Callithrix jacchus: one gene and its partners. The protein of the gene in region 2 purifies or fractionates together with the protein of the main gene of each other region. This does not show direct contact. Links are inferred from orthologs where the notes say so. Each region holds a gene or a part of one and is shown on either strand. Other genes may lie near its edges.

Region 1 (5,007 bases), on a different chromosome or scaffold from region 2:
CAGGGGCATCCAGGACCCAGCACCCAGCTGGACCACCAGAGATAAGACTCCTGTGCCTCTGTGGGCCCCAGCACCAAGCCCTGAACTACCCCACCCTGGCCCCAGCACCAAGCCCTGAACTACCCTACCCTGGCCCCAGCACCAAGCCCTGGGCTTTGCACAGAGAAGCTCCCTGAACACAAAAGTTTTGGTAAAAGGCAGAGCTGGGCCAGGTGCAGTGGCTCACACCTGTAATCCCAGCGCTCGGGGAGGCTGAGGCCAGCAGATCACAAGGTCAGGAATTCGAGATCATCCTGGCCAACATGGCGAAACCCTGTCTTTACTAAAATTACAAAAAATTAGCTGGACATGATGGCGGATGCCTGTAATCCCAGCTACTCGGGAGGCTGAGGCAGGAGAATCGCTTGAACCCGGGAGGTGGAGGTTTCGGTGAGCCAAGACCACACCACTGCACTCCAGCCTGGGCAACAGAGTGAGACTCCCTCTCAAAAAAAAAAAATGTCTGAGTTGAAGAGGAAAGAGCCAGCAGCAGTGTTTATCACCCTAATAGGGCGGGCACCTGAGACTCCCTGAAAACACAGGTGCTTGGGGACCCCTCAGGCCCTTGAATAACCGCCATAGGGGGCGGGGGGGAAGGGTGGTGGTGAGGATTGGATATCAAGCGCACCCAGAGAGTCCTGCAAGGATGGACAAAGATGACAGGGTGACCATGTCCCATGGGGGTGACTGAAGAGCTCCCGCTTTTTCTAGAGACTACTCTTCCATGTGTCAAGGACAGCAGCGTCTCACCCCAGGGATGGAGTTTCTAGGGCTTTCCATAACCCAGTGCTGATACTGGCAGGTGCTTCCTGGAACTGCGTCACTGCCCTAAGGCCTGGTCTCCCACCCCACAGCCAGTCCCCTGGGAAGCACTAGGTGCCCAGAGGGCATGAGGAGCGGGGCACTTCACACTCTCAGCAGAAACGAGAAGAATGTGGGAGTGAGATGGGAGTAGGCACGGTAAGAGGATGGAGAGCCAGAGGGGAGAGGCACCCTGGGAGTGGGGGAGGGGCTGAAAGGAGGAAGGTGAAGGAAGGGGTGCAGCAGGGAAGGGAGAGAGGGGAGAGGGGGAAGAGCAGGGAAAACAACAGGGAAAGAGGGAGGAAGAGGAGAGGGTGCGGAGAGAGGGGAGACAGTCCGGGAAGGGAGGGAAGAGGAAGAGGTGGGAGCTCGGTCTCTCCAGCCAGGGAAACCAGAGTCACCGGGTGAAATTACACCCGCTACACCAAAGTGCTCCCGGGGCCGAAGCAGGGGAGAGGGAGGACGGGCCCGCCCAGAACTCTGGGGGCACTGCCCGGAGCCTTGGTCCTGGGAATCCAGCCCCGCAATACATAAGGGTCCAGGCCCCTGCAGCCCTGTGGATGTGGACCTCCCTCTCCCAATGCCCCTGAACCCCGCACCATCCCCTGTGGCCCAGTGTGGTGGCTCCAGGCTGGGAAGGAGACAGAAGCCCAGGTCCCTGGACAAATCCGACAGCCAGGACCTCAACGATGACACGTTGAACCCGCTGACCTCCAGGCCAGAACACATGGCTGCCGTGGAACCCTCGGGGCCCGTCCCCCAGAAATCCCTTTCTTCCAGCTCTGGCACCAAACTCACCCCCACTGCACCCCGAGGGTTCCAGTGCTTGCCAGGGGGGCGCTGCAGAGGCCCCAACCTTCCCAAAGAAAAGACAACTGAGCCTCCTCAACAAATCAGGGGCCAAGCAGCCCCCGAGGCCTGACCTGAGACCCCAAGACAAGATTCGCAAGGAGCTGAAGCCCTCAGATTCACAGGGCGGCACAGAGACCTTCCGGACACAGTCCTGAGTGGGCGTGGCCCGGGAAAGGTGTCACCTGTCTTCCCCCTCCCCCCACCACCAGTCCCTGCCTCTGGGGGTCAGGCCGCCACCGCGGGAGCTGAGTGCTCGCCGGGCTGGAGAAGGCCTTCGGGATCCCCAGGATCCCCCGGTGAAACCTGAAACCCGAGGCCCGCACTCCGCTCCCCTCCCCCACAAGCAGCAGCGGCCACCCGGCGGGAGCCTAGGTCCGAATTCGGGGCTCCTGGATACGCGCGCGCCGGAGGAGGAGGAACACTCGCGGGTCCCGCCTTCCCCACCGCCCGCACTTCGGAGGCAGCGGCCCCTCCGCGGAGCCTGAGCCCGGCCACCCGGAGCGCCCCCTCCGCCCCCGCAGCGCGGCCCAGAGGCTGAGGCCCGGCGTCCAGGAGCCCCCGGTTCCGACCCCGCCCAGCCCCACCGCCAGGCAGCGGCCCCGGGGACAGCTCGGCCAGGCCATAACCCCCAAACTCTCCGGTCCCCGCCCGACCCCCGAGCCCTGCCGGGGGCTGCACTGGAGCCGCCGCGCCCGCGCCCCGGGGCCTCGGACTCGGCCTCAGGCGAGACCCACCGCCGGGAACAACCGGAGAAAGCGGAGAAAACGCCCATTTTAAGGAACCCGCCAGGACTTTCCACAACTTGATGGAAACGTTTGGTTCCCACAGGTTTCTGGCCTGAACGCCGCCGCCCAATTTTCCGGCGAAAACGTCCCCGACGGAGACAGGGGAGGAGCGCGCGGCGTGGATGCGAGCCGGGAACCCGCTCCGGGAAGGGGCCCCGCGCTGCCCACGGGTGTCCGCGGGTGACGCTCGGGGGGGGGTGGGACCTCTCGAGACAGCCCCGGGCCCGCCGCGATCTCGCCGCCGCCTCCCGCCTTCCCCTCCCTCCGCGCAGAAGCCCCGACGGCGCAGTCCCCACACCTCCCGCCGCTGCTCCCGCCTCACCCTCCGTAGTGCGCCTTGAGGCGGACGCGGCCGCTGCTCCCGTCCATCTTGGGGCCGGTCCTGCTTGGCATGGCGCGCTCCGCCGGCCGCAGTCAGCGCGGCGCCCCGGGAGCTCCGGCCATGGCGCGGGGCCCGGGCGGCGGGGCGGGGGCGCCCGGAGGGGCCGCGGCGGAACGCGGAAGACAGTGCGCAGGGGGACCGACGGCGCCGGGCGGGCCAACCACGCGGAACTCCGGCGGCGCGCGGGGCTGGGGTTGCGCGCAGGGCGCGTGGGACGCGCGGGGAAGGAGCGAAGCGCGCGGGGCGGGAGGGGACGCGCGGGGCGGGAGGGGACGCGCGGGGCCGGACCGTCCGGCGAGGGCGGGGGCGGTGTCCGAACATGGCGGACCGACGTGGAGCCGGCGTCCAATCCACAGGGCGGGCGGTCCCGGGGCGGGCGGTGGCACCTGCGGCCAATGAGGGCGAGGCGGGGCCGCCACCTGGGCCAATCCTCCGGGGACCCCAGCCGCGGCCCAATGGCGAGGCGCGGGAGGCTACCTGTCGGGCGGGGCGCGCGCACCTGCGCCAATGGGACCGCGCCCGGCCCGGCTCTGCCCGGCAACCCGCGGGGCCCCCGCCTGGGGGACGGAGCGGCGCTCTCCCCGTGAGACCCTCGGCGAAGTGCGCCCGGTCGTGGCGTCCCTGGAACCTCGCTGGAAACGCCAGTTCTCGGCCCCGCCCAGACCCTCCGAATCGAAACTCCTGCGGCCGGCGCTGCCAGCCTGAGGGGCCGGCCGTCCAGGGGTCCCGGACATCTCACAAGGGCGGTACTGAAGCTGCGAGGGGCGGAGAACCCGGCCACGGCCACGGCCACGGCCACGCCCGGGAGGCTTCGGACTCGGGTTCTCGGGGCCCCAGTTCCGCTCCGACCCCAGCGAATCCAAGGTCCCCTGGAGGGAGGGGCCGTCCACACTCGCGAGTGCTCCCGCTCGCTCCTCCTCCCAGGTCAAGGACACAGCATTGGCCGGAGTCGCCAGGAACTTCATTTCTGAAGCCACAGCCTCTCGGGCCTTACTAGGGGGGCTTGATCTGGGCAGTCGCCCCGCAGGCCCCTCCACCGCCGCTCAGCTCCTTGCCTCCTGGGCTCCTCCCCTGAAATGTGGTCGAATTTTCCCTGATCAGTCCATCCCGTCCTGGCTCCATCCACTGAAGCTTAGATCTGCTGCCTGGAGGACCTCACCCAAGCACCAGGTGGACACGCCCCTCGTCCAGATACAGCTCAGAACACGCCCTCACGCCCCTCCCCCAGGCACAGCTCAGGCCACGCCCTCATGCCCTTCCTCCAGAGACAATTCAGGCCACGCCCTCATTCCCCTCCACCGGACACAGCTCAGACCACGCCCTCACGCCCCTCCCCGACACATCTCAGGCCACGCCCTCACGCCACTCACCCAGGCACAGCCACTGCTTTCATCCTAAATCGCCACCTTGATGCCAGGCCCTGGGGAGACCTGTGGGTACAGAACCCATGTCCGCCCTCTCCTCCGAAGAAGCTGTCCTTCCTTCTTCAACACCTTTTGCACCCTCGCTCCGTCCTCCGACCCATCTCTGCTCCTCTTCACCAAAGCTTCTGCCAAGCCGGCCCCTCCCTGGCTACCTCTCCTGCCACCAGCCACTCCCACGTTTTAAATACAGGGGTCGTTTCTCAGACGTTTTCCTTTTTTCTTTCTTTCTTCTTTCTTTTTTTTTTGAGACAGTTTCACTCTTGTCGTCCAGGCTGGAGTGCAATGGCACAATCTCAGCTCACTGCAACCTCTGCCTACGGGGTTCAGGCCATTCTCCTGCCTCAGCCTCCTGAGTAGCTGAGATTATAGGTGCCCGCCACCATGCCCAATTGATTTTTGTATTTTTAGTAGAGATGGGGTTTCACCATGTTGGTCAGGCTGGTCTCAAACTCCTGACCTCAGGTAATTCACTCTCCTCGGCCTCCCAAAGTGCTGGGATTACATTTTCTTATCAGACCCCTACTGAAAAGGCTCACACATCCCCCACCCCCGGTTCCAGCTCCCCAAATCTCTCATCCCTCCCCCTCCTATTCTGCAGCTTTTAAAAGTGTGGAGACCTGGCCTCAACCTTTGGACCACTTCACATCACCAGCTCACATGGCCTTGCTGAGCTCCTGACCAAGGCTCACTGGCCCCAGGCGTCCTCCTAACCAGCCTCTCAGCT
Region 2 (5,257 bases):
ATCTCCAGGTTTATCTTTCCTACATTGTTAATGGGACCATTACTCACTCCCTTGCTCATAACCCCCCAGGGCTGCAGGGTCAGTCAGTTCAGGCCCAGATGCCAGCATCCAGCATCCTCCCTGCCTCCTCAGCCTAGGCTGTGGAGGGGCAGACCATCTGGGATCCCAAATCCTCTGGGATCTGGTCTCATCCTTCAATCCCACCCTGCTCCACAACACTCCCCGAGCCTGGATGAGTCTACAGGTGGCTTCTGAGTCCCCCAGGCTCTCCCCTTCCTTCTCTCTACTCCCAAGGCCTGAAATTTCAGGCCATAAGCCTCCTCCTTCCTGCAGACTATAAAAGTGAAGGGAAGAGGCCTAATCAGATTCCCACAGCCATGGGCTGTGGATCTAGTAAGTACTCAATGCATGCTTCTTGCATATGAATGCAAAGAGGAAGGCAGGGGAGGAGGAGACCCAGGAGCCTCCCTCTGCCACCCCCAGGCCTGGGAGTGGGCCAATCAAGTTTAGGAACCACTGCTGGAGAACAGGGGAAAGAGGGAGGGACAATTCCTCACCCCAGCTCCACCCCAGTTGCACAGAAAGAACTTTGGGAGCAGGGGAGGAGTTCAGCCCCGTTTGCTGAGCCTGTGGGTCAGGTTTCTGCCACCTTTTCAGAGTGAGAGACTGAAGGCAGATAGGGGTCACCCAGCTCCCTTCCATCCCCTGTGGACACTGAAGCTTTGAGACCCAGCACCCATAGGCTACTCCCTCCAGAACAAGAGTAGCAGGCTCTAGGGGTCCTGAGATCTCCCATTCCCAACACCTGCACCCCCAAAAGCGAGCTGGTGGGAGGTACGCTGGTATAGGAAAGCCCTAACTCCGGAGGCAAATGTCCTTGTGGCAAAGCTCCATCAGGGACACCAGCTTCTCCCACAGGCTAAGAAACCCAGAAGAAAATGGCAGGGCACGTGGGGAGCGCTGACCCACCTCTCCCAACAGGGAGGTCAGGGAGGTCCCCTCCACCCCACAGCAGCAGCCAACCTTCCTGGGCCACTATCCTGGCACTTGTTACCTCATCCCACGTAAGCCCTTAACAAGCCTATAGGTTGGGTGACAGGCACACGATCATCCAGCTCCTACGTGGCAAAGTTGAGTACGCACCTGGACAAGCTGACTTCTGCACTTCTCAAATCAACAAACAAAATACAACCAGGTGGGTGCTGTGGCTTATGCCTGTAATCCCAGCACTTTGGGAGGCCCCGAGGTGGGCAGATCACGAGGTCAGGAATTCAAGACCAGTCTGGTCAACATGGTGAAACCTCATCTCTACTAAAAATACAAAAAAAATTAGCTAGGCGTGGTGGTGAGTGCCTGTAATCCCAGCTACTCGGGAGGCTAAGGCAGAAGAATCCCATGAACCCAGGAGTCAGAGGTTGCAGTGAGCCGAGATTTCGCCACTGCACTCCAGCCTGGGCAAAACAGCGAGACTCTATCTCAAAAATAAATAAATAGGCCAGGCATGGTGGCTCACGCCTGTAATCTAAGCACTTTGGAGGCCAAAGCGGGCGGATCACCTGAGGTCGGGTGTTCGAGACCAGCCTGACCAACACGGTGAAACCCCATCTTAAAAAATAAATAAATACAACCAAAGAGAATTCCTCATTCATCACAGGGAGACATCCCTTTTCCAGACTGCCTGGTCTTACATGCACTGCTTCCTTTTAGGGGCAAGGGAGCCCAAACAGAAGCCCCCAACAAGAGCCAGACGTCCAGCCCTCAGCATGCTGGGAGGCTCCTGGATCCCCGGGGCAAGAGCAACACAGTGTCCTGGTCCCTGCAGCCCACCTTCCCAGCAGAGTGAATCAAAGCACAGGCGATAAGGCCCCACACTGGTCGGTGGCCCAGGAGCTGAAAAGCCACATTATACACCTCCTGTGCACTAAGGCCTGTCCTGACCTTCTCAGGCCCCAGGCCCCTGAGGGGAAGCCCCATGGGGCTTCTGCTGCCCCAGGTACAGGTTTGGGATTGTAGTCCGAGGCCAGTTCTGGCTCATTCTCCTGGCACCTCTCCCCACTCACCCAGCTGGAGCCTGCCAGAACGAATCACGTGCTCAGACTGCAGGGGAGCTGCATTTTCCTTCAGGGGCAATTTGAGAAGGGATAAACAGCCATGGCCTGTGACTCCAGGGCCCCAAGGGACACTGTTACCCCCTTCAGAGTTCATCTTTTCATCACGCACATCCCCAAGCCTCCTTGACAACCCTGTGCCAAGGCAGGCAGGGCAGATCGTTTTATTCCCATGATACAGGTAGGGAAACTGAGGCTCGATGAGGTGGGGTGACTTGCAGAGGTCACATAGCCAGTGAAAGACTTGGGATGAGGAGTCATGAGGGCATCCAATTCCTCTTTCCTATAAAAACCCTTTCACCGGGCCCCATTTCCAAAGTCAGAGTCCCAGGAGGCATTGCAGGCACCATGTAAGAGCTATACCTTAATCCAGCCCCAGCCTGAGCTCCCCAGCCCAAAACCCAGGTCGCCTCCCCTGCTCTCCTTAACTTACCTTGTTAAACTGAAACAGGTCCCGCTTGAGCCTCTCCCGCACAGGGTCATGCCCTGGCCTCAAGAACCGCCTCATTCTGCTTGGTCTGCAGCCCCCACCGGAAACCTGGAGAAACAGGAGGAGCTGTAGGGGCCTGTCCTGGCACTCAGGTATCGATGAGGCCCGGCCCAAACAGGTGGAGCGGCCCTCTCTCTCCAAGTCTAGTAGGCAGCCACCCCGGGGCCAGGCCGGCTTCACAGTGACCGCCCAGGTACCCTGGCTTCCCCACGCTCAGATCTAGAGGCCGGACCACCTCAGGGCTGAAGGCTCTCACCACCTGTGGCCTTATAATGGGGAAGGAAAAGCTGGGGGAGGAAGCCATTTAGCCTGGCTTTATGAGCACAAGGAGGGCCTGCCAGCCCTGAGGTTAATTAGCTTAATTGTTAACCTGTATTCTGAGAAACCATGGAACTCCAGCAAAGCAGAAAGGAAACCTCACAAGCCTCTTCCTCCAAAGTCGGGTGGAAGGTGGAAACACCAAGGCTGTTCCCCAATCAGAGCCCAAATCGGGGTGGCCCAAGGGATTCCAGGCCAGGGCCCCAGCGCAGATGCCTCTTCCTTCTAACCTCGGGCATGGCTGTCCATGGGCTCTCGCCTCAGCCTCTCCAATCAGCCACAGCCAGGAGGAACTCGAGTGGGCACGGATGGCACAGGACACTCAGTCAGAGTGCTGGCCCATCCCACTGTGCCCGGGGTCTCTGCGGGTCCCCTCCCCTCTCTCTGGCTAGCCCCAGTCCAACCTTCCTGTGGTCTATTGGGGTGTGCTCAGAAAGGTTCTCTTTCCCATGGGCCCAAGTGGAGAATAATCAGGAGAAATCTGCTCCCAATAAAGAAACCAGCTTGAGGCCCCCAAACTCTCCGCCCACCACAGAATCCATTCCCAGCCCAAGGGGAAACTATTTCTGGATTATCCTTGGGGGAAGGGGAAGGAGCCTCTGTGCTCCAGCTTCTGGCTTCTAGTAGCTCAGCCTCCTCGTGACTACAGGACAGCAAGGCCCATCCTTGGGAAGCCCAGACACAGGCCCACCTGGGGCACAGCTCTGCTCACTCCCAGCAGGGTGAGGAAGGAAGCAGATCTAATCCCCACCCTGGAGGCTGCACTCCGGGCAGGGGCAGGTAGAGACAACACCTGGCCTGAAGTGGGGAGGGCAGCTCATATTTGAGAAGAAGGTATCTAAGTCCGGGCACAGTGGCTCACGCCTATAATCCCAGCACTTTGGGAGGCAGAGCCAGGTGGATCACAAGGTCAAGAGATGGAGACCATCCTGACCAACACGGTGAAAGTCCTGTCTCTACTAAAAATACAAAAATTAGCTGGGCGTGGTGATGGGCGCCTGTAGTCCCAGCACTTTGGGAGGCCACGGCAGGTAGATCACCTGAGGTCAGGGGTTTGAGACCAGCCTGGCCAATGTGGTGAAACAACAAAGAAAAGAAGAAAATCTAAACTGAGGCTTGAAGGATTTCGGGTTCTTGGGAGGTGGCAAAAATTAATTATCAGGTCAGGACTTTGCATATGATAGGATCCCTTGTGATGTGGGTCGAGTGGGAGAAGGTAGGTAATGTGCGTGGCAGAATTGGGGGTGTCTTCTGGCAGAGGGCTTGCCATGCTGGGAGGGTGACCCGATTCTGCAAAATCACACTGTAAAAAAGAGGCAGTTCTGTAATCTCAGCACTTTGGGAGGCCAAGGCAGGTGGATCACCTGAGGTCAAGAGTTCAAGACCAGCCTGGCCAACATGGGGAAACCTCATCTCTACTAAAAATACAAAAATTAGCCAGGTGTGGTGGCAGACTCTGTAATCCCAGCTACTCAGCAGGCTGAGGCAGGAGAATCACTTGAACCTGGGAGGCGGAGGTTGCAGAGCAGAGATCAGGCCATTGCAATTCAGCCTGGGCACCAGAATAAAAACAACCTCTGAAAAAAAAAAAAAAAGAGGCAGAGCCACATCCTCCTTGAGTGAAAGGATCTGAAGGGTCAGTTACCTCTAAACCGAACACCAGGAACCAGCCCCCTTCTGGGGAAACTGAAAAGGTGGGTCAAGGTCAGTATGAGATATGCCTTTATATTTTGGAGGAGTCAGCCCAAAGGTGGGGCCCCCACTTTGCTGGGGAAGAGCAGGTGGCCGGGAAACTCCTAGGGTCCACTTGATCCAAGGCCCTGAGGGGGTTCAGAGAATAGGCACTGGCTGGGAAAGCCCCTGGGGCTTCTGGGAGTGGAAGTGAGAGGACACTGGGATCTGCCGGCCCAGCATTCCAGCCTGGGGAGGGTTCCAGCCTGGGGGAGGGTTCCAGCCTGGGAGAGGGCAGTTCACGTTCATAAACCAGTTGGACTCCTGGGGGCTCACACCCCAACCCAGGGCCCAGGCCGAGGTCACTGGGTCAGAAGTCAGAGGAAGCTTGATGGGGGCTCCCTGGAGAGTGACCACCACCTGCAGACTCCAGGGAGGGGAGAAGAGGGCACAGGGCCATCTGTGCCAAAGACTCCACACAGGCTCAAAGGTGACAAGGCAGAACTGGGGGCTGGGAGGAGATGCTGGTAGGAAGGAGGGAGGCAGGGTATAGCAATGTCATCAGGAGGGGGCCCCACTGAGTCAGGGGGGTGAGGACACTGAGCACCTGCTGTGCACCCAGGAATGAGTGTACCAAACCCTCTGCAGCCTATTGCATTTAAACAATTTT
Region 3 (5,315 bases), on a different chromosome or scaffold from region 2:
TGCCCTGGACAGGGATAAAAGGCTCTTGGGTTCAAGGCTACCCCTGACTTCTGGGAATAGTAGCCTTCATTTTAAGGGAAGGAGCTGGGCATGGTCAATCACGCCCTAGACTGTGAGCCTTGAGGGCAGGGCCTGTGCTGCATTCTCCTCAACACTGGAGACATAGGGCACAGGGCGAGGGCTCAGGAATCCTAACTGAAAACAGAGGTTTGTTCACTTGTTTTTTTTTTAAATATCTCTGTCCCCCAGGCTGGAGTGCAGTGGCATGATCTCTGCCCACGGCAACCTCTGCCTCTCGGTTTCAAGGGATTCTCCTGCCTTAGCCTCCCGAGTAGCTGGGTTTACAGGAGCATCCAGCTGATTTTTGTATTTTTAGTAGAGACAGGGTTTCACCATGTTGGCCAGGCTTGTCTTGAAATCCTGACCTCAGGTGATCTGCCCACCTCGGTCTCCCAAAGTGCTGTGATTACAGGCGTGAGCCACCCTTGCCCCGCCTTCTGTTTTTAGACAAAGCTTCCATCCAGTGGCTGATCCCAAGCCCCACTTACAAAGTGTGACCTTCCGAGGCAGTAACTGAGTTTCCACATTTTATGGAATGACCCTTTCTTCCCTGAGTGGTTTTCTGTTTTCTCCCCTGGATTGGCTCTTCAGTAGGTGGGATTCTCTACCCTTTGGAGAGAGTAGGCACTGAGCACTCTAGTTTCTTCTGACACTCTTCTTCCTCTGTGTAATCCAGCAGTTAGGGGTTCCAGGCTACCAAGGCTACCAGGGTTGCTTTTCTTCTTTTTTTTTGAGACAGAGTCTGGCTCTGACACCAGGCTGGAGTGCAGTGGCACAATCTCGGCTCACTGCCTCCCAGTTCACCACCTCTGCCTCCCAGTTCAAGTGATTATTCTGCCTCAGCCTCCCAAGTAGCTGGGGCTACAGGTGTGTGCTACCACACCCAGTTAATTTTTGTATTTTTCAGTAGAGATGACCATGTTGGTCAGGATGGTCTCGATCTCTTGAACTCGTGATCTGCCCACATCGGCCTCCCAAAGTGCTGGAATTACAGGTGTGAGCCACCTCGCCCAGCCCAGGGCTGCTTTGCAGCCGAGTTTGGTCTATGTGCTTGCCCAGGAAACAGGTAGGAATGGATAGTCAGGCATGGCTCATACATGTAATCCCAGCACTTTGGGAGGCCGAGGTAGGTGGATCATCTGAGGTTAGGAGTTCGACACCAGCCTGGCCAACATGTTGAAACCCTGTCTCTACTAAAAATACAAAATTTACAGGTGTGGTGGCAGGCACCTGTAATCCCAACTACTTGAGAGGCTGAGGCATGAAAATCGCTTGAACCCGGAAAATGTACATCTCAGTGAGCCAAGATTATGCCACTGCACTCCAGCCTGGGCAACAAGAGTGAAACTTCATCTCAAAAAAGGAAAAAAAAAAAAAAAAAAAAAAAAAAAAAAAGATAGTCATAGAGGGATGGCACTGAGGAGAATATCTGGTCCCTGGATCAGGGGCCTTAACCTCCTCTTTCAATAGATCACCCAGAACATCAGTGATCAGGACACTTATATGTACTCAGCTGGGTCAAGGGTCCTCCTCCTGCCCTAGGGTCTCAAAGGACAGGACAATGGTTAAGGAATACAGGCTCAGACCCCAACCATTCTCATCTTTTGGTGATGACTGAGACCAGAGAAACTGACCCCATCTGGAGTCTCCAACAACCCTTCTCACCCACTAGAGCCTGAGGCTGGTCTGGTGAGCTCCTCCAGACTCTACACCTCTCTCCAGAGTCTACAGGCTGCTTATGAAGTCCTTTCTCCCCCAAAGTCATGCCCACTAGTCCCTGGTTGCCCTGGTCCCTGGTCCTGTGGTGGGGCAGCCAGCTTTGTGACTTCATAGAAGGCTATCTTGTGACAAGTCTGGGCCTGGTGAAGCAGGAGCAGGGCAAAGGGGGCTCCCCTTAGGAATATCATGTGACTTTTCATAGAGAGACATCTCCATCTCTAAGGGATGAAGAAGAGCTTCCCCACAGTAAGAGCCCATGACACCCTCTACACCTAGAAACTCCTCTCCTTGAGGATTTTGGCTCCCAGGCCTAACTGGGTACTCCAGGCTGTATCTGGCAACATCTCCAAGAGGGCCAGGCCCACGGTAGAGGTATTTACTTCAGGTGATGGGTGGATCTCTAACCTCTGAATTTGTCCCATTTGACAAAGCCATTTTTCTCTAGGCCCCCCCTCTCTTTTCTTTAATTTCAAATATTATTATTATTATCATTTTTTTATTTTATTTTGAGACAGAGTCTTGCTCTGTCACCTAGGCTGGAGTGCAGTGGAGCAATCTCGGCTCACTGGGTTCAAGCAATTCTTGTGCCTCAGGACTCTGAGTAGCTGGGATACAGGCGCACAGCCGGATAAATTTTGTACCTTTTTAGTAGAGATAGGGTTTTGCTATCTTGGCCAGGCTGGTCTAGAACTCCCAACCTTAGGTGATCCATCAGCCTCGGCCTCCCAAAGTGCTGGGATTATGGCGTGAGCCACCACGCCTAGCCATAAGAATGATTTTTATTTTTATTTTAAAATTATTTATTTGTTTATTTTTTTTAGATGGAGTCTTGCTCCATAGCCCAGGCTGGAGTGCAGTGGCGTGACCTTGGCCCACTGCAGCTTCCACCTCCAGGGTGCCAGTTCAAGCAATTCTGTGTCAGCCTCCTGAGTAGCTAAAGATCATTCTGGGCCGGGCACAGTGGCTCACACCTGTAATCCCAGCACTTTGGGAGGCCAAGGTGGGTGGATCACTTGAGGTCAGGAGTTCCAGACCAGCCTGGGCAACATGATGAAACCCCATCTCTACTAAAAATACAAAAAACTAGCCAGGTGTGGTGGTGTGCACCTGTAATCCCAGCTACTCAGGAGGCTGAGACAGGAAAATCACTTGAACCCAGGAGGCAGAGGTTGCAGTGAGAAGAGACTGCTTTATTGCCTTTTAGCCTGGGGACAGAGCGAGACTCCGTCTCAAGAAAATACAGAAATAAAAAACAAATACAGGGGTTTCTGAGAGCTTGGAGGCCAGGCCAACACAGACCCTCTCCCCAATGTTAATTCCACTCTTCTTCCTCCTGGAAGGATTTCCAACCCCAGGAACCTGAGGCAAAAGAGGCTGGGTGTGCTTGCTTTTTTATCTCCCCAGTACTTGTGCCCATGGACCATGTGGGCACTTACATTGTTGACTTTGTGGCATCTGTTTCTTTCTCTGTAAAGTGAGAGTGGTGGATGTGAATGTAATCAGACATAATTACACACCCTTTGGGAAATGGAGTGGCATTCCCTCTCCTCATTTTCTCTGGGGGGCTATCAGGGCCACGAGGCAGGAGCAGGGCACCCAGTGAATGACTGGGATTTCCTCTTTGTCTAGGCTGGTGTTCTCAAGGATGGTAACCTTGAGCCTCTAATTGGTAGCTTCTGTGACACTCCTGGACACTTGCAGTAGCAGTCTTGTCTAGCCTAAAGGAGAGCAGGGGTGGATATGGGACAGCTGGCCTCACTTCCCAGCCCTAGGGAAGGGCATTGCTGGAGGAAGCACAGGAATTGTGGGGTGACACCAGGGTAAGGATGAGCTGGTGGGTGCACCTGGGTAAGCCTAGAAGGTGCTGGGAGTGAAAAGCTCGTAGAAGGATGGGAGCAGGAGAGGGAGGAGAGTGAAGGAGAAGACTGAGGCCCAGAGAACCTGCTGCTGTCCACTTTCCTACCCAGGTAGTGGGTGTGCTTGGACGTGGGAGTAGGTAGAGCATGCCTATCTGTAGGCCTTGGTCCTGGGGCCAGGGCTGGGCTCTTCTTGCATTTTCTCTGCTTCTGGGCAGCTCCAAAAGCACTCCTCGCTCTTTCAGATGAGGCTTCTTCTTTCTCAGGCACACTACAGAGCAGGGGGTGGAAGAGGCAGGGCAGGGTAAGACAGAGTCCAAAGATGTCCCACCAAAGATGCCAATAAATCTCCTTCCAGTGATGCAGGACCCATGTGCCAGAACCAAGCCAGGATGTGGCCCTGGATTGTCTGTAGCTTTGTGTGTTCATATGCTTAGATGTGAAAGTATTTGTTGTGAGGACTGGGTGCCTAATGCATGCTTGTGTATCTGGCAAATGTAATACTTGAACAGTGAAATGTGTCACCAAGCACACTTGGAATGTGTGTGCAGTTGGGAAAGCCTGGGTGCTCCCCCTTCTCCTTCCCAGAGGTGGGAAGGAGGTGTTTAGGGGTGTCTGTAGGTGCATGGCTGTGTGCATGTCAGGGAGGGGGAGGTGTTGGCAGGGGTAGAGGAGGCTACAGGAGTTACAGAGTGCAGATTCCTGAGGGTGTGGCTGCTGGACAGGCCCTGCTCATCTTCTGCTCTGCTTCCCCAGCCTCTTAGGCCCTGGGTTCTCCAAAGCCCCTCCTTAATGCTTCTTGCTCCCATCATCAACCCAGGACCCCAGGCTGAGTTTCTGCTTTTTTAAAGAAAATAAAAATAAAAAATTTATTTTGGGTGGCTCATGCCTGTAATCCCAGCACTTTGGGAGGCCGAGGCTGGGGGATCACCTGACGTTGGGAGTTCGAGATCAGACTGACCAACACGGAGAAACCCCTTCTCTACGAAAAATACAAAATTAGCCAGGTGTGGTGGCATGTGCCTGTAATCCCAGCTACTAGGGAGGCTGAGGCAGGAGAATCGCTTGAACCCGGGAGGTGGAGGTTATGGTTGCAGTCCAGCCTGGGCAACAAGAGTGAAACTCTGTCTCAAATAAATAAATAAATAAATAAATTAAATAAATAAAAATAAAATATTTTGTAGAGACAGTGGAGTGGGGGTGGGGGTGAGGGTGTTCCTCTATGTTGCCCAGGCTGGTCTTGATCTCTTGGGGGATCAAGATATTCTCAGCCTCTCAAAGTGCTGGGATTACAGGCCTGAAACACTGAGTGCCAGGTTGCATTTCTGAAAGGAAGCAGTGCCATCTGGTGGTAGGCTGAGGCAGTGCCAGGAGCTGGTGAGCTGGGCCTTGAGCTCCCCTAAGGGCTCTCTGCCTTTTAGGACCCCAGCCAGTGGGGAAGTAACCTGAAGGAGTGTCGGAGGAGAGGCATGTGGTTTCCATTCCTTGATCTATCCCTCTGGGTCCAGATTTCTCATCTGTAAAGGTGATTAGCCATATCTTCCCTGTGTGTGTAGTGAAGTAGTGAGGATTAAATGAGTGTGTGGCAAGAACACTTAGCTCAGAGCCCAACATGCTCTAAAGTTGAAAGAAATGATAGTGGCAATTACTGACAGAGGCAAAGTTCCAGAAGCACAGAGA
Region 4 (4,987 bases), on a different chromosome or scaffold from region 2:
CTGGGGTCTTGCTATTCAAGAGGCTGAGGTGGGAGGATTGCTTGAGCCCAGAATTTTGAGGTTGGAGTGAGCTATGATTGTGGCATTGCACTCCAGCATGGGCAATATAGCAAGATCCTGCTTTTAGAGGGAAAAAAAGTTCATTATATGGCATAAGCTGAAAAAAGCAGGTTGTAAAACTAGATAAGCAGCATTATCACAGTTTTGTAAAATATACAAATATATATGCAAAAAAATAAGTGAAAATAAAATACACCAAAGGTTAATATAATTCATTGCTGAACTGCATGACTACGGGTACTTTGTGCAGTTTTTTCACTTATTTGTATTCTGCAGGTTTCTTTTGAAATGAATTTATGATGAGATTTATAATTATATAACTTGAAAATTACAATTCATAGTATGCTTTACAATGATTTCTTTAAAAAACTGTCTTGTCTTCCGCACTTCACAAATTCGTCAGAGTCTAGGACTGCATCTCTGGTTTCAGCAAGCCCCTGTTTCAGAGGCCTCTAGATTGATAATCATTCAATGATGCTGCTAGTAATTGATTCTTTGTCCTAACAGGTTCTCTTCTTCTAGCTGCCTTAGACAAAAAGTCTCCTCTCACATCGGGCAGGTCTACAGGTGCTTCTGATCCTGTCCCGAGAGATAGGCTATCTGATAAAACCCTTTAAGCCCTTATTTTTACTTTTCATTCTTTGAGACGGAGTCTGGCTGTCTTCCAGGCTGGAGTGCGGTGACGCGATCTCGGCTTACTGTAGCCTCCGCCTCCCAGGTTCGAGCGATTCTCCGGTCTCAGCCTCCCTAGAAGCTGGGACTACAGGCACACACCACCACACCCGGCTAATTTTGTATTTTTAGTAAAGACGGGGTTTCACCGTGTTATCCAGGCTGCTCTAAGCCTGTCTGATAAAACCCTTCTCCCAGACCATCAACAACTTGACAATTAGTACTGACAGGTGATGCCTTTTGGTCTCCAGCGGTTCTCGTTAGCATTCTTCTCCTGAATATGACCCAAAACAATGGCACAGATCAGCCCCTCTCCTAGGTTGCTCCGTGGAGCCAATCAAAACGAGACGCCTGGGCTGGGCGCGATGCTTCTTTCCCCAGGCTCCGGGATTGTTGGAAAAGAGCGCACACCTACTGGCCAGGCGCCGCTGAGCAGCAGCGTGGGGGCGGGGTGTGGCGGCGGGGCGGGGCGGGTCCTCCGGAGCGCGGGGCGGGGCAGAAGCTGGGCGGGGAGGGTCCTCCGGAGCGCGGGGCGGGGCAGAAGCTGGGCGGGGAGGGTCCTCCGGAGAGCGGGGCGGGGAAAGGGCGGGTCCTCCGGGGCTCGGGGGCGGGGCGCGGGCGAGGGCGCGGGGAGGTGGGGCGGCGCGCGCCGGCGTCTCCGGCGCTCCTCCCGCGCGCGGCCCCTGGATTCCCTGAGGCGCGCGGCCAGCCCAGCTCGGGCCCGCAGCTCCGGGAGCAGCCCGGCGGCCGAGCGATCAGGGGCCGGACCGGGGCCTGGGGGCGCTGCCCCCGGGAGTCTCTGCGGCCCCTGAGGAGCGAGGGCGACGGGGAGGCTGACCGGGGCCGAAACCATGAACCGGAGTTTTCACAAGTCTCAGACCTTGCGATTCTACGACTGCAGCGCGGTGGAAGTCAAGAGCAAGGTAAGCCCCCCGCGCCCCCCGCGCCCCGACTCCTGGCTAATGAATGGGGCGCCCCGCAGAGGCGCCTGGCGCCGGCGACAACTTTCGAGTTCGGGCGCCGCGCGCCGCTCCGCCGGACGCGCACTGGGACCCCGGCCGTCCTTCCCGCCTCCCGCGCGGACACAAAGCCCGGCAGCCGCGGCGCTCGGGGGCCGAGGGCCATCGACAGTCCGTGCAGGCTCTGGACCCGCGCCGCGGGAGCTGCTCTTTTGTTCCACGAGCGAGAGGCGACCGGGGCGCGCCACACATTGGAGGGGCGGGCGGCCTTTCCGGGGCGAATTCAGGACCAGGGGCTGCTCGGATTCGGGGCCGTGGAGGGGCCTGTGGGGGCCCGGGCCGGGGGATGGACCTGGCCAGGGCGCCTTCAGTGCTGCAAAGGGGGCGCCGGCTCCGAGCTGGGCGTCCCCCACCCTTTTGGAACCAAATGCCAGGCATTAGGCGCGCTCCCCAGCCCAGACCCAGAGCACCCACCGGGCTCTCCCCAGAACCAGACCACGCCCCCGGGCGCGTCCCCGGGCCAGACAACCCACCCCCACGGGCGCGCCCCCAACCCAGACTTCCCCGCCGGCGGACGCGCCTCCGCCCCAGACCCAGACCCCTCCCCCGGGCGCGCCCCCGGCCCAGACCCGTACCCAGACCACCCTCACGGGCGTGCCCGGCCCCTCCCGCTGCCTGCGCTCTGGCGGAGCGTGCCCGAACTTGCGGGTCGCGGTGAGCGTCTGGGTAATTGGCTGATAGGATCTGGCGCTTCTGCCCTTTGCGGGGGTGGTTCCTTCGCTGTAGATGCTATTGTTTGTTAGGGTCTCCGTGGTGGACCTCGCGGGCTGAGGAGGAGCTGCAGTTGTTGGGGGATTCTGCGGGAGGGCACCCCTCCAGCCTTTCCCTGGCTACTCTCTGGGAGTTGAGCGGCCCTCTAGCCCTTTCTCTTTTTGCACCCCGGGTCTCAGAGTTGTGTGAACGGCTCCTAACGGCGGAGCAGGAGCCCTGACACCCAACTCTTGCCTATCTGGGCGCAGGGCGGGTGTTCCTTCCCCTGTGTCTGTGGAGGCAAGTCTAACAGCCCCCACTCCCTGTGCTGCTCTGACCTTTGGTGTAGGATTTACAGGGTGTCGTCCACAGAGGATGGGGGGTTTGTGTCCCAGCAACGGCACGGCCACCTCTCCAGACTGCTGCAGTGAGTTGCAGGATCCTTCTTTACCTGCGGGTACACGGTCTTTTAATGAATCTCTTATTTATCCTAAGATCCTGTTCTTATCTTTGCCCCATGACCTCGGCCCCACACCCATCTTCTCTGGAGCACAGGAGTGCCCCCAACTCCCCCAAATCAAGTGTGCCAGCTGTGGGTTAGGTGAGGGGAAGAGCCCACAAGCGTGGGTGGGAGGTTACTTTAACTCAGTGTGAACAGCTCTCTGGAGCTGCGCTGTCTAGTATAGTAGCCAGTAAACACGTATGGTATGTAATCTTATTTAACTTTTTATTTTGAGATTATTGTAGATTCACAAGCAGTTGTGAGAGAATGTAGAGGTCTGTGTATACTTTGCTCAGCCTCCCTGATGGTGACATCTTGTGTGACTAGCACACCGTCATATCCTGGACACAGACCTTACCGGGTCTCAGCAGCATAAAACGCTCATTCGTGTACACTTAGGTCTGTGCAGTTCTGTGATCGCTATCTGCTCCTCATATGAATCATGCAAGGTGCAGAACAGTTTCCTGCTTTCATCTTAGGATCCTTCCTGCTGGCCTTCACAGTGACTATTTAACCAGGGACGTTAAAGACTTAGTCTGGGCTCATCGGCCCTGTGCAGAGGGTGGCTGCCTCCTCACACACAGCTCCAGAGAATCAGAGGCCTCAACCAGGCCCAGGGTAGGTCTGGAGGACATGCACTTACCAGGTCTCATCCCGCAGTCTGGGCTGCTGGCACTACAGAGGCCGCCTCTGCCTTCCCGGGGGTGTCAACTTGCCTTCCTCTGCCAGCTCCACTTGGCAAAGAAGGGGTGCTGCCTCACACCCCAAGCATGGGTTCAAGTATTGCAGCTGTAAAATGGGCATGATACCTTTTCTTCTTACCTCTCAAGATGAAATACAATGAATGCAAGAGCACTTTGAGTTAAATACTGCAGGTCAGAATTCTTCGGCATTTTAAGATATTGGGTGGGAAACTGTCTTAGGTTCTCAGAGTTTTTGTCATTAACTATTTACCACAGCTGGTCAGCCCCCAGTGCTTAGGGACAGGATCCCGGTGCATGAGGGGGCATATGTTATTGATCTTGACCTGGTGGCTCTTCCCCATTTTGCAGCCCCTTATACTTCTCCAACCATTTTTACTTTAATTACAGTGATTCATCTGTTCCTCGGCAAACCAGCGGCATGTACTTCTGATTACCTGGTTCTGGTCATGGGACCACCCTTTCTCCCCCTTACCTTTGACTTTTTCCTGTCCTTCCACAGGACCTGCAATGGGGAGGGAGGAGCTGTGCAGATGTTTAGGGTGCTTCAGGTTGAGGAAAGCAAGTGTCCTTGGCCACCTTAGAAAGTAGCAGAAAGGCCAGTGCTGGGATTGGGATGGGTTTGCAGGGGGCCGTAAATGTAGATGAATTTTCATATGAGGAGCAGATAGCAAGCAATGCGATGCCACTATGAAGTTAGCAATGCCTTTTAACCACATTAGTATTTCGTCAGTTCCACTGTCATCTGCAAAGGCTTGAAAAATCCAAAGAAGCACAGCTTATCCCCACCCAGCTGAGCCCGGAGCCCTGTTTCTTCAGACTCGAGCATAGATGACCCACTCCTCATGGCCTTGGCCCAGGCTTTCTTTGCCTGCATGTCCCTAGTTTGTGGATTCCCCTACTTGAAATGCTTTCTCTGGGAATCTACCCTATCCTAAGGTTCTTCTTAGACAGCTCCCTCTTCTACAAAGTCATTCCGCATGCCTGTGACAGACCGAGCTTTCTCTTTCTGACCCCGTCTTGGTGTTTCTGGTTATCTTAGGGCACTTGTCGTGATGCTGGTGCCACAGTTATGTTTGAGGCACCTATTGTCTGTCATGTTAATTGTATCTGGAGGAGAAGGTTTCCATCCCATTTGTGCTTCCTTATTAGATAATATTGAGACTTTTTTGAATTCTAAACAAACCGCGTCATCACAGGAAGTTTAGAAACAGCCAAGCACAAAGAAGTGAGAGCAAACACCATTGGTAGCTCCCCTGTCTGAAGATGAGCCACTGTTAAAGTTTCTGGCCTTCTGGTCTTTTATGTGCATGTATGAGACACACACTCTTGTGTTACAGAAT
Region 5 (4,969 bases), about 85 Mb from region 2:
AATAATTAGGAAATTTTATGACTCAAAGACTGTTCCAGGGTTATTAAAGGACATCACCATGATTATTGATTAAGAATCTTTCCAACACTAGAGATACAGTTAGGAAGATAAATCAGTTTCCAAAGAAAAGTGACATACTAGCTGGTATCACAAATTTAACTATACTTATATTTACGTTCTCCATTATTTTATTATCATTATTTTTCCCTGCCACTTGCAAAGATAAGAAAGTTGACACTACTGCTTTAATTCATTTTTCAAACTTTTTATTTTTTTGAGACGGAGTCTCCCTCTGTCACTCAGGCTGGAGTGCAGTGACACAATCTCGGCTCACCACAACCTCCACCTCCCAGGCTCACATGATTCTCCTGCCTCAGCCTCCCAAGTAGCTGGGATGACAGGCATGCAGCACCAAGCACAACTAATTTTTGTGTTTTTAGTAGAGATAGGATTTTATCATGTTGGCCAGGCTGGTCTTGAACTCCTGACCTCAGGTGATTCGCCCACCTTGGCCTCCCAAAGTGCTGGGATTACAGGAGTGAGCCACCACACACGGCTGACACTACTGCTTTATATGAAGAAAAAGAGATATTAAAAATGGACGAGAACCCGGTGTGGTGGCTACCTCCTGTAATCCCAGCACTTTGGAAGGCCTAGGTGGGCAGATCACTTGAGCTAAGGAGTTAGAAACCAGCATGAGCAACATGGCAAAACTGTTTCTAAAAAGATTTTAAAAAATAAAAATAAATAAAAGAAAAGAAAAATAGACCAGGTAGGGTGCAGTGGCTCATGCCTGTAGTCCCAGTACTTCAGGAGGCAGAGATGGGGGCATCACTTGAGCTCAGGAGTTCAAGATCAGCCTGGGCAACTTGGCAAGACCCCCGTCTCTATTAAAAAAAAAAATTACCTGGGTGTAGTGGCGCATGCGTATAATCCCACTACTCAGGAGGCTGAAGTGGGAGAATCACTTGAGCCCGAGAGGTTAAGGCTGCAGTGAGCCATGATCGTGCCATTGTACTCCAGCCCCAGTGACAGAGCAAGATCCTGACACGAAAAATAAAAGAATTAATAAAAGGACCTGCACACTACCTATTTCGTTACAAACTCTTAGGGATTAGTGTTGTAAAAAAGCTGTGCTATCACTAAAGCAATGTCAAAGGAAATACTGTTTTAAAAACCCCTCCAAATATTTTTTAAATGATTAGATGACAAATATTTCAATCCGCTGAAAATAAATGTATCAGAAATATATATTTGAAAGATAGAAGGTGTCACAGACACATTAGGAATACTCCCCTACCTATACCTTGCCTATTTGTCAACAGCTAGAATAGTGCATTCAGTGCATTCATTCAGTGCATGTTTCTAGAATCAGTGTATGAGTCTACTTAAGAGACATGGTTCACTAAAAGTGCAGTATGGCAGTTCAAATATACAACATGTAGTTTAGACAGAAGTATGTGAAAGATTCAAAAATCAGTTGACAAGAGAAAGGCAAAAAGCCTGAAATTCCAGTTTTAAAGCACTCAAGGTTTCTTAGTACTAGAGATAAACTACTATTTGATTGTATTTATCAGCATGCTGATAAATACTGATAAAACAGAATTCCAACTCATTTTTTATGAGAAAAAAATTAAAGATTTGCTACCCAAATTAGGGCTATAAACTTATTTTTAAGATTATGCAATATCACAAGTGTTTTTCTTTCCATAACCTCAACGCCCACAAATCCAAACGAGACTTATAACAGAAATGCTGTAAGAAGGTTCAACCACTGGGCACGGAACCACTACTGCCACTATACCGCTAGAGGAAAAGCTCTGCTACATATTTTGGGTCATCTTCACGCTATATAGCTCAAGCAAGTCACTTCAATTTGCTATGCCGTGCACATGGCACACAGACACACGAACATTCCTTAAATTGCTATAACTACACTTCTTACTGATTCTGAAACTAGTGCCAATCCTCATTTCAGTGCCAAATCACATTTTTAAATGATGTTACAAACAAATGTAGATTTTCTCGATGTGATTCTCAGTTACAGAAACTTACAGAACTTTGCTTATCAACCGTAGACAATAAAACCATTCTACCCAGAGGCTCTAGAAAGCTTTCCTTACTCCACTCAACTCACTCCTTGATTCTGCATACTCCTTAGTAGGCTTACAATCTATGACGCTCCATTACTTCTTTTTTTTTTTTTGAAATTGATACGCTTTCAATTTTTTCGTTTTCTGTGTTTTGGCCTTTTCAATTCTATTTTAAATGTTCCGAGGGCCCAGCCAGTGCCCTGTTTTGTATTCTGCAGTGCCTAAAAGTTACTGTTAAAAAGGCATGAAGGCATTGCAAAAAAAGAGCTTGGGAAGTCATAACCTTTCTGAACCTCAGTCTTCTCAGAGAATTGGACTAGACTATCTAAGCTCCTTTTAACTCTTCAACTCAAGAAACTTCGTCGAAAATGTTCCCGTAGCTGCCGATCACCTTCAAACTCCATCTCAAAACCCCCTTTGGAAGGCATTCCCTAACTAATCCCTACAGACTCCCCTGCTCACCGAGCCTTGCGATTTAGGAATTCAGTGAATACCGAAATAATTATCAGCAGATTGGCATACCGCTGGTCAAGGGGAAAAACACTTGATGTAAGTAAGTAGCAGGATGGAATGAAAAGAGCATCCAAACTCAAACTGTAAAGTGCTACTCCAGCGTAAGGTGATAGCGCTAATTTTACAGATTAAATGCATACCAAAGTTAGTTCTAGAAAGAGCGCTAGCAGGAAGCAAAGGGAACTTTTCAAGGGCTATTTAGTTCACTGGGCTCTCTCCTTCGCCACTCGATGCGCCCCTGAACCCCAGAAAGGGGGAACGAGGTGGTCCAGGGCCCTTTATTCACAGCCCAGCAGGCAGGATTCCCCTACATCTTTTGAGCCGCCTCGCATTCCACTAAATGTGTGCCATCCTCGGGCATACCTTGGCCCCTACTCCCAGCCGTGAACACGGGAATGAGATTTACGGGACGAGATTAAACGCTGGATTAGATCTTCTTCCTGCCGGGGCCATGGGCGGACGGACACTAGCGCCCACCGACCCCCGCCGCACCCTCCTCGGCAAGTTTATTACCCACCATCCCCCGCCCGCACGTCCAGACCCCGGGGCAGCTCGGACCGTCGCCTCCCCCGGCGCTCCGAGACCTGCCCAGCCTCTCCCAGGCCCTGGCCCCCCAGGCCCGCCGCTCCGCCCAGCCCGTGCCCCGCGCACCTTGCTCTTCACCTCCATGGTGCCCAGGCAGCCGCTGCCCGCCGCGTGCCGGTGGCTGCGATTCATGCTGAACGCCGGGCCAGCGGCGGCCTCCTCCGGCCGGGCGGCCCCTCTGGAGAGCAGGGAGCGAGTGCGCGGCCGGCGGGCTCGGAAGGCGGCTGCGGCCCGGGAGCCTCCTCACAGGCACCTGCAAAGAAGGCGGCCGCACCTCTGGCGTCTGCGCCGAGCTGCACTCGGTCGGCTGCTCACACGGCGGGACCGAGGGTCGGACTGGCTGTGCGGCGGGCGGAGACGCAGCTCCCTCCCTCCGGGCCCCGGCGGCGGCGGCGACGACAGCGCTGGAGGAGGAGGAGGAGGAGGGGGCGGAGCGGAGGCCACAGGCGCCGCAACCTCTCCCTCAGCCACCTCCTCCGCGAGCCCGCGCGCGCGCACCCGAGCCGGGCCACAGCCGCGGCGCGTGCGCGTGCTCACCTGCCGCCCCCGAAGCTGCTGCAACCGCTCGCGCTCCGCCCACACCCAATAGGAAACGCGCACCTGCGCCCGCGGCGCCAACCAATCGATACACGCCTCGCGCGATGCGTGGGCGGGCCGCCTCCTCAAAAAACCCCGCCTTTCGCTGCGCGATTGGTCCTGCGCTTCGAGGGAGGGGCGGGATCACCTGAAGCCGTGGACCTACGCCCCTCATCAAGCCGGAGAGCCAGAGGGCGCATGCGCGGGTTCTGGAGTTTCCGCCCGAGGAAAGCACGCGGGGCGGTCGGCCGGAAGCGCGAGCGCACCTGAAGAAGGGCTCGGCTGGGTGGGTCTTTTGCGCACGCGCAAGCGCGCGCCTCGTTGTCCGGCGCGCGAGTCACACGCTTGGCTCTGGGGATGGGGCGCCTAGCGCTGCCGGTGGCCGAGGCTCCACGGGGCTGTTTGGTGTCCGCCGGTCCCCCTCCCCGCTTCCACTTTGGGAAGCGGCATCCCCTCCACCGCCCTTTAGCGTCGCTTAGGTGTCCCGCTGCAAGTCTTGTTTGCAAAATTTAAGTTTTCTAGCTTCTGTAGCAGTTGCTGGAGGAGAAGCTTAGGGCTCTCTTGGCTTGACTTTGTCCGAAGAGACTCTGCACGCCCTAAGTTCGTCAGGTCGAGAGGGAAGGAAAGTGGGCTTGAGGCGCGGGAAGGCTCCTTGCGGGCCCAGCCTCCCAGAGGATTTCTAGTCCGGTCTTCCAGTGCTTTTTTTTTTTTTTTTTTTCTTTAAACCTCTGAAGTCCTCTTCCCTCCTCCCGCCATTCCTTAGCCATTCGCTGTTTCTAGTAATGACAGCCAATGGGTTGTGTTCGTTTCCCGGAGTGACCAAGCTGTGTCCCAGAGCAACAAAACTCTGAATTCTCCTCTCTGAATGTCCCAGTCCCTGAGCCCGGCCTCTCTTCACACAGACCCTGTTGGCCATGGGGAGGAGAGGAGAAGACTGAAGATTTGGGCTGGAGGAGATTCCCAAGTCCCAAGGGCTCCCTGTGGGTTCTGGGAATCCAAGAGCTGTTGAAACCTGCAAACCAGAAAGGGGGTGGGGGAGTGGAGGTGGAGGAGGAGGGTCCAGCTTTAGATCTGGCAAGAAGAGTGGTTTGAGTGCCTTCCTCCCCTTACCTCCCTGCCCACCTCGGATGCCTCCTAACACTTGTACCGGTTTCCCAGCACGGGTGACAAGTTCCAGGTTTCCATTTTTGTGTGCATCTGAG
Region 6 (4,535 bases), on a different chromosome or scaffold from region 2:
TTTGGCTAGACTTCAGTGCTAATAACTAACTTTCCAGCACTGACCTTTGGGATTTTAAATTACCAGTATCAGCTTTCTACTGGGTCTCCTGTGTTTTTGTCTAGTCATGTGCAGCCCTGGAGATGAGCAGAAGTGGATGTGAATTTCTGAGCAGACTTCTGGGGTTCCCTTTCAGTAGCTACCACATCAGAAAGTACTCTGACCCCTCAATCCTGGACACCTTTGCCCAGAACTCTGATCTCTGATTTTCTCTACTAAGATAACTATTTCCTGCTTAGACTTCATTTTAATACCCAATTCCTAGAAAATGCTTCCAGGGTAAAGTCTTGGGGAAATGTTGGATTACTTAATGTTTTCTTTTTTATCAGGGATTGCAGCCTTGTGTTGATTTCAGTCCAGTGCCTACAAAGAGTTGGTTTTTTTTTTTTAATGTGTGTTAGGCCATTCTTGCATTGCCATAAGTAAAACCTGAGGCTGGGCAATTTACAAAGAAAAGAGGTTTAGTTGGCTTATAGTTTTGCAGTTGTACAAGCTATCTGCTCAGCTTCTAGTGAGGTCTTAGGCTGCTTAAAAATCACATTGGAAGGCAAAAGACAGGCGCAGCATTATCACGTGGTTGAGAGTGGAAGCAAGACGGGGGCATAGGTGCCACACACTTTTAAACCAGATCACATGAGAATTCACTGTCACAAGGACAGCACTAAGGGAACGGTGCTAAACCATTCATGAGAAATTCGCCCTCCTGATCCAATCACCTTTCACCAGGTCCCGCCTCCAACATTGGGAATCACATTTCAACATGAGATTTGGTGGAAACAATATCCAGACTCTATCAGTATATTTTGTTCAGATCTTAAAGTTACTTACAGTTGGAGATTAGGTCTCATATAAGCTATTCTCTTTGGTCTAAAGCTGATTTCCTTTCATTTTGTTTTATTGACACATAACTGCCTTTTAAGTTAGATTTATTGCTTTGAGTTATTCTAGAAGAAACTTTGGTTTGTTTGTCATTATAGTATAAGTCCTGTATTTCTGAAAACAAGGTTAATTGGGAAAACAGCATATGTCAGTTAATTTATTGTATAAAATTTGATATCTTAATTATCTGTTGTGTTTTTTGTACTTCAAGGAATCATCTGTTGCAGTTTGCTTTAGAGTCACCACCCAAATTTCCTGCTTCTTCCTCATCAAAGAATCTTGCTGTCAAGGTAGATACTCCTATAGCCTCCAGATTGTCTTTAAAGCAGGGGAGCAGGTTAATGGATAATTTCTTGATCAGAGAAACGAGTGTTTCTACATCAGAGTTGTTGATAAAAGAAAATGAAAGCAAATTCAGCCCTCCAAAAGAGGCAAGCCCTGCTGCAAAGACCAAAGAGACACGTTCTGTAGAAGAGATGGCTCCAGGTTCCTCAGAGGCTCAGCGTCCTGAGACACCCTCAACATCCACTTTGAAACAAGTTACTAAAGGTAGGAAGTTATTTTCATATGTGGAAGTATGGAAATCTTTTCATCCACTTGACATAAGAATAAATAGGCAACATCTTTGAGGGGGAAGGAATGGTAAAGGACAAATAATATTTCACTGTGTCATAGTCTCAGCCATTGATGTAGATATGTTTGTTCTTTTTCAGAAATAGGAATTCAGGCTGACTGCTACAAAAAGTATACAATTTTAATTAGTTCAGGCTTCAAGTATGGCACACTTCAAGTATGGCAGTAGCTTTCTGTTTTTAGCTTTTAATCCTTTTCTCCCCAATTCAGTGTATCAGTTTGCATATAATCTTGAAGAGCTCTTTTTATCTTATTTTGCCACTGCTTGACCACCTCCTCACTGTTCTGCCTGCCATGTAGAGCCTTTGACAATTGGAGCCCTACCCTAGTCATCCCGCCATATTGCTGACCTCTCCCTCTCAGAAGTCTTGCTCTAGCCAAGCTGATCTCCCCACTGTTCCTCCAGTACACCGAGGAATTGGCACACTTCAGCTGGAAGATCTAATCTGGCTTGCCACCTGTTTTTGTAAATAAAAGTTTGCATACCCATTTGTTTACATATGACTGTGGCTGCTTTCATGCTACAGTGGCAGAGTTGCGTGGTTGTGACAGAGGCCATATGATTCATAAAGTCTAAGTTCTTCACTACCTGCCCCTTCACTAAGAATGTTTGGTGACCGCAAATATTCTTAGTGAATGTTATTTCAGTTCTGTATTTCAGTATAGAACTAAAAAGTTCTATACCTTTCCAGACTCTATCCGGATCTTCACTATTCGTTGGTTATGTTAGAAAACACTGTCTCACATCACAAAAGTGCTATAACACTTGTTTTCTGGACTGTTTTATATACCATTTGCTTAGCTGTTTGATAAATATGTCAGCTTGTTTAACCTTTTGTTTTTGTGTCTTCTTTCCAGTGAAGTTTAGAGCACGTTTTAGGCAGAAACTCTTAGACATCTTTGGTATACCCATACCATACACAGTGCAGAGATGTGAGTGTTTATTAAACTTAGATTGAATTAGTTTGTTAGTACTTATGTGTTTACTTCTTTAAAAGAGATATAAATTTCACTTACATTTTCTTTTTCTTTTTTTTTGGAGACGGAGTTTTGCTCTTGTTATTCAGGCTGGAGTGCAATGGTGCGATCTCAGCTCACCACAACCTCCACCTCCTGGGTTCAGGCAATTCTCCTGCCTCAGCATCCTGAGTAGCTGGGATTACAGGCACGTGCCACCATGCCCAGCTAATTTTTTGTATTTTTAGTAGAGATGGGGTTTCACCATGTTGACCAGGATGGTCTTGATCTCTTGACCTCATGATCCGCCTGCCTCAGCCTCCCAAAGTGCTGGGATTACAGGCGTGAGCCACTGCGCCTAGCCCGACTTACAGTTTTAACTATATCCTTAGTCTTTTTACCAATTGACAATTCTTATTGTAGTATTTTTTAGCTTGATGGTTAACTGTTTTTCCCCTAGCAAAACCTTTTTTTCCCAAATGAAATTTTACAATAAACCATAACATATAAAATAGATTGTTCTGTTCCACCTGTACTCCTGCCTATTTATCCATGGTGATCTGTAGGCCCTGAGATACCCCCACAGATCTCTGCAACTTTATGAAATAGTTTGAGAATGACAGTATTCCTTAATTTTAACATTATATATGGAATTACAAATGAGAGCTAAATTAACAAATTTGTAATCATTGACAAAATTGAACAGTAGTTGGCCCAACTCAATAATTATTTAATCTAGTTGTACCTGTCCTTTGCCCAGCCCCTGGGCCAGGTATATCTTACTGAGGTTACTCTTGCTTCTATGCTAAACATGGATAGCTCCTAAGGCTTGGGAAAATTTAAGATTAGTTTTATTATAATTTGGTCATACCTTGGTAGAAAAGATTTAACCAAAGCATTTTCTAGTAAACGAACTTTCAAGCTTATTTGCAGTTTCTTCTTCTGGGCCTAGGACTTCAACTGTGTGACCTTCCACAATTTGGCCATTACCCAGTAACCAGTCTGTCCCACTCCTGTTGTCCTGATGGGCCATTCTTTTTCTTTTCTGCTTTTCTAAGTGCATATTAAGTTGGAATTCTTTTTTACTTTAATTGCTGAAAAGATTCCAGTTTACATTACTTTTGCCCCTTCTACAATTAATAAAGTCTTTTTCTTTTTAAAAAATACAGTGGATTGTCCTGTTTGTGGGGTTAACATTCCAGAAAATCACATTAATAAGCATTTAGATAGCTGTTTAACACGCGAAGAGAAGAAGGAAAGCCTCAGAAGGTAAGGAGGCTGGGCAGAACCATTGAGCTACTTTAGCTGGATGTCTCTTGTGCTTTATAAACTTGGGGGAAAATTACAGTATTCATTTTATCCTGGCGACTGTATTTCCCACTCTTACTTGATTTCTCCTTTAATCCTGTTGGCTGCCTCTTCCAATTCCTCTCCTCTGTTCTGTCTTCAACTCCCACATTACCAACTATGATTAGTTGTATTGAATATTTGAACTGCTACTAAATTTGACTTAATAAGAAATTAGTGACTTCACATTCAATTCTTTTTAAAGTTTTTTTTTTCTCTTAGAATTTTAGAACTACCAAAAAGCCTCTTGGCCAAAGAAAGCAAGATTAGACTCTAAATATAGGATATAGGAAATCTTTCTTTGGTCCTTAAGATGCTCAGGAGTTTTAAAATTTAAAATCAAAGTTTTCAAAAATTTTTGACTAGGAAATTTTATATATATATATATTATATAATATAAAAAGGTATGAAAATGCAAATGTGAAATGTAATGTTGTATCCCATCTCACCCCAACCCCACACCATCCAGGTAATGTAACTAATAAATTGTCAGCTTAGTATTTGCATCTGAACTACTGTGCTATTCTGCCTCTCTTGTACATCAAAGTAACTGTAATTTTTAAACTAGTCCGCTACTGTTATACATACAAGTTGTTCAGGAATGAAATATTAGACAAACTTAAGTTGAAAGGCATTAAGGAATCAATGCATAATAAAGAATCAGAAGATGCAATTTAGAT

Evidence for each region.
Region 1: the proteins of LLGL2 (region 2) and PRKCZ purify together in Homo sapiens (affinity purification with mass spectrometry; 7 studies listed by BioGRID and IntAct, counting the BioPlex papers as one, with this or other methods). This does not show direct contact. The link is inferred for Callithrix jacchus from reciprocal best matches to the Homo sapiens genes LLGL2 and PRKCZ.
Region 3: the proteins of LLGL2 (region 2) and DCAF1 purify together in Homo sapiens (co-immunoprecipitation; 3 studies listed by BioGRID and IntAct, counting the BioPlex papers as one, with this or other methods). This does not show direct contact. The link is inferred for Callithrix jacchus from reciprocal best matches to the Homo sapiens genes LLGL2 and DCAF1.
Region 4: the proteins of LLGL2 (region 2) and PARD6G purify together in Homo sapiens (affinity purification with mass spectrometry; 4 studies listed by BioGRID and IntAct, counting the BioPlex papers as one, with this or other methods). This does not show direct contact. The link is inferred for Callithrix jacchus from reciprocal best matches to the Homo sapiens genes LLGL2 and PARD6G.
Region 5: the proteins of LLGL2 (region 2) and PARD6B purify together in Homo sapiens (affinity purification with mass spectrometry; 7 studies listed by BioGRID and IntAct, counting the BioPlex papers as one, with this or other methods). This does not show direct contact. The link is inferred for Callithrix jacchus from reciprocal best matches to the Homo sapiens genes LLGL2 and PARD6B.
Region 6: the proteins of LLGL2 (region 2) and RAD18 purify together in Homo sapiens (affinity purification with mass spectrometry; 3 studies listed by BioGRID and IntAct, counting the BioPlex papers as one, with this or other methods). This does not show direct contact. The link is inferred for Callithrix jacchus from reciprocal best matches to the Homo sapiens genes LLGL2 and RAD18.

Annotation. Positions count from the first base shown.
Region 1 is NC_133508.1:40,119,168-40,124,174, reverse strand, and holds the start of PRKCZ (protein kinase C zeta type), read right to left. Parts: upstream 3,181-5,007; coding exon 2,800-3,180; intron 1-2,799. UniProt on the Homo sapiens protein: Calcium- and diacylglycerol-independent serine/threonine-protein kinase that functions in phosphatidylinositol 3-kinase (PI3K) pathway and mitogen-activated protein (MAP) kinase cascade, and is involved in NF-kappa-B activation, mitogenic signaling, cell proliferation, cell polarity, inflammatory response and maintenance of long-term potentiation (LTP).
Region 2 is NC_133506.1:131,439,948-131,445,204, reverse strand, and holds the start of LLGL2 (LLGL scribble cell polarity complex component 2), read right to left. Parts: upstream 3,389-5,257; 5' UTR 3,156-3,388; coding exon 3,147-3,155; intron 2,647-3,146; coding exon 2,542-2,646; intron 1-2,541. UniProt on the Homo sapiens protein: Part of a complex with GPSM2/LGN, PRKCI/aPKC and PARD6B/Par-6, which may ensure the correct organization and orientation of bipolar spindles for normal cell division.
Region 3 is NC_133516.1:34,070,034-34,075,348, reverse strand, and holds the start of DCAF1 (DDB1- and CUL4-associated factor 1), read left to right. Parts: upstream 1-1,956; 5' UTR 1,957-2,164; intron 2,165-5,315. UniProt on the Homo sapiens protein: Acts both as a substrate recognition component of E3 ubiquitin-protein ligase complexes and as an atypical serine/threonine-protein kinase, playing key roles in various processes such as cell cycle, telomerase regulation and histone modification.
Region 4 is NC_133514.1:122,481,639-122,486,625, reverse strand, and holds the start of PARD6G (partitioning defective 6 homolog gamma), read left to right. Parts: upstream 1-1,426; 5' UTR 1,427-1,583; coding exon 1,584-1,655; intron 1,656-4,987. UniProt on the Homo sapiens protein: Adapter protein involved in asymmetrical cell division and cell polarization processes. May play a role in the formation of epithelial tight junctions. The PARD6-PARD3 complex links GTP-bound Rho small GTPases to atypical protein kinase C proteins.
Region 5 is NC_133506.1:46,271,341-46,276,309, reverse strand, and holds the start of PARD6B (partitioning defective 6 homolog beta), read right to left. Parts: upstream 3,530-4,969; 5' UTR 3,324-3,529; coding exon 3,258-3,323; intron 1-3,257. UniProt on the Homo sapiens protein: Adapter protein involved in asymmetrical cell division and cell polarization processes. Probably involved in formation of epithelial tight junctions.
Region 6 is NC_133516.1:66,132,082-66,136,616, reverse strand, and holds part of RAD18 (E3 ubiquitin-protein ligase RAD18), read left to right. Parts: intron 1-1,129; coding exon 1,130-1,467; intron 1,468-2,409; coding exon 2,410-2,484; intron 2,485-3,677; coding exon 3,678-3,777; intron 3,778-4,535. UniProt on the Homo sapiens protein: E3 ubiquitin-protein ligase involved in postreplication repair of UV-damaged DNA. Postreplication repair functions in gap-filling of a daughter strand on replication of damaged DNA.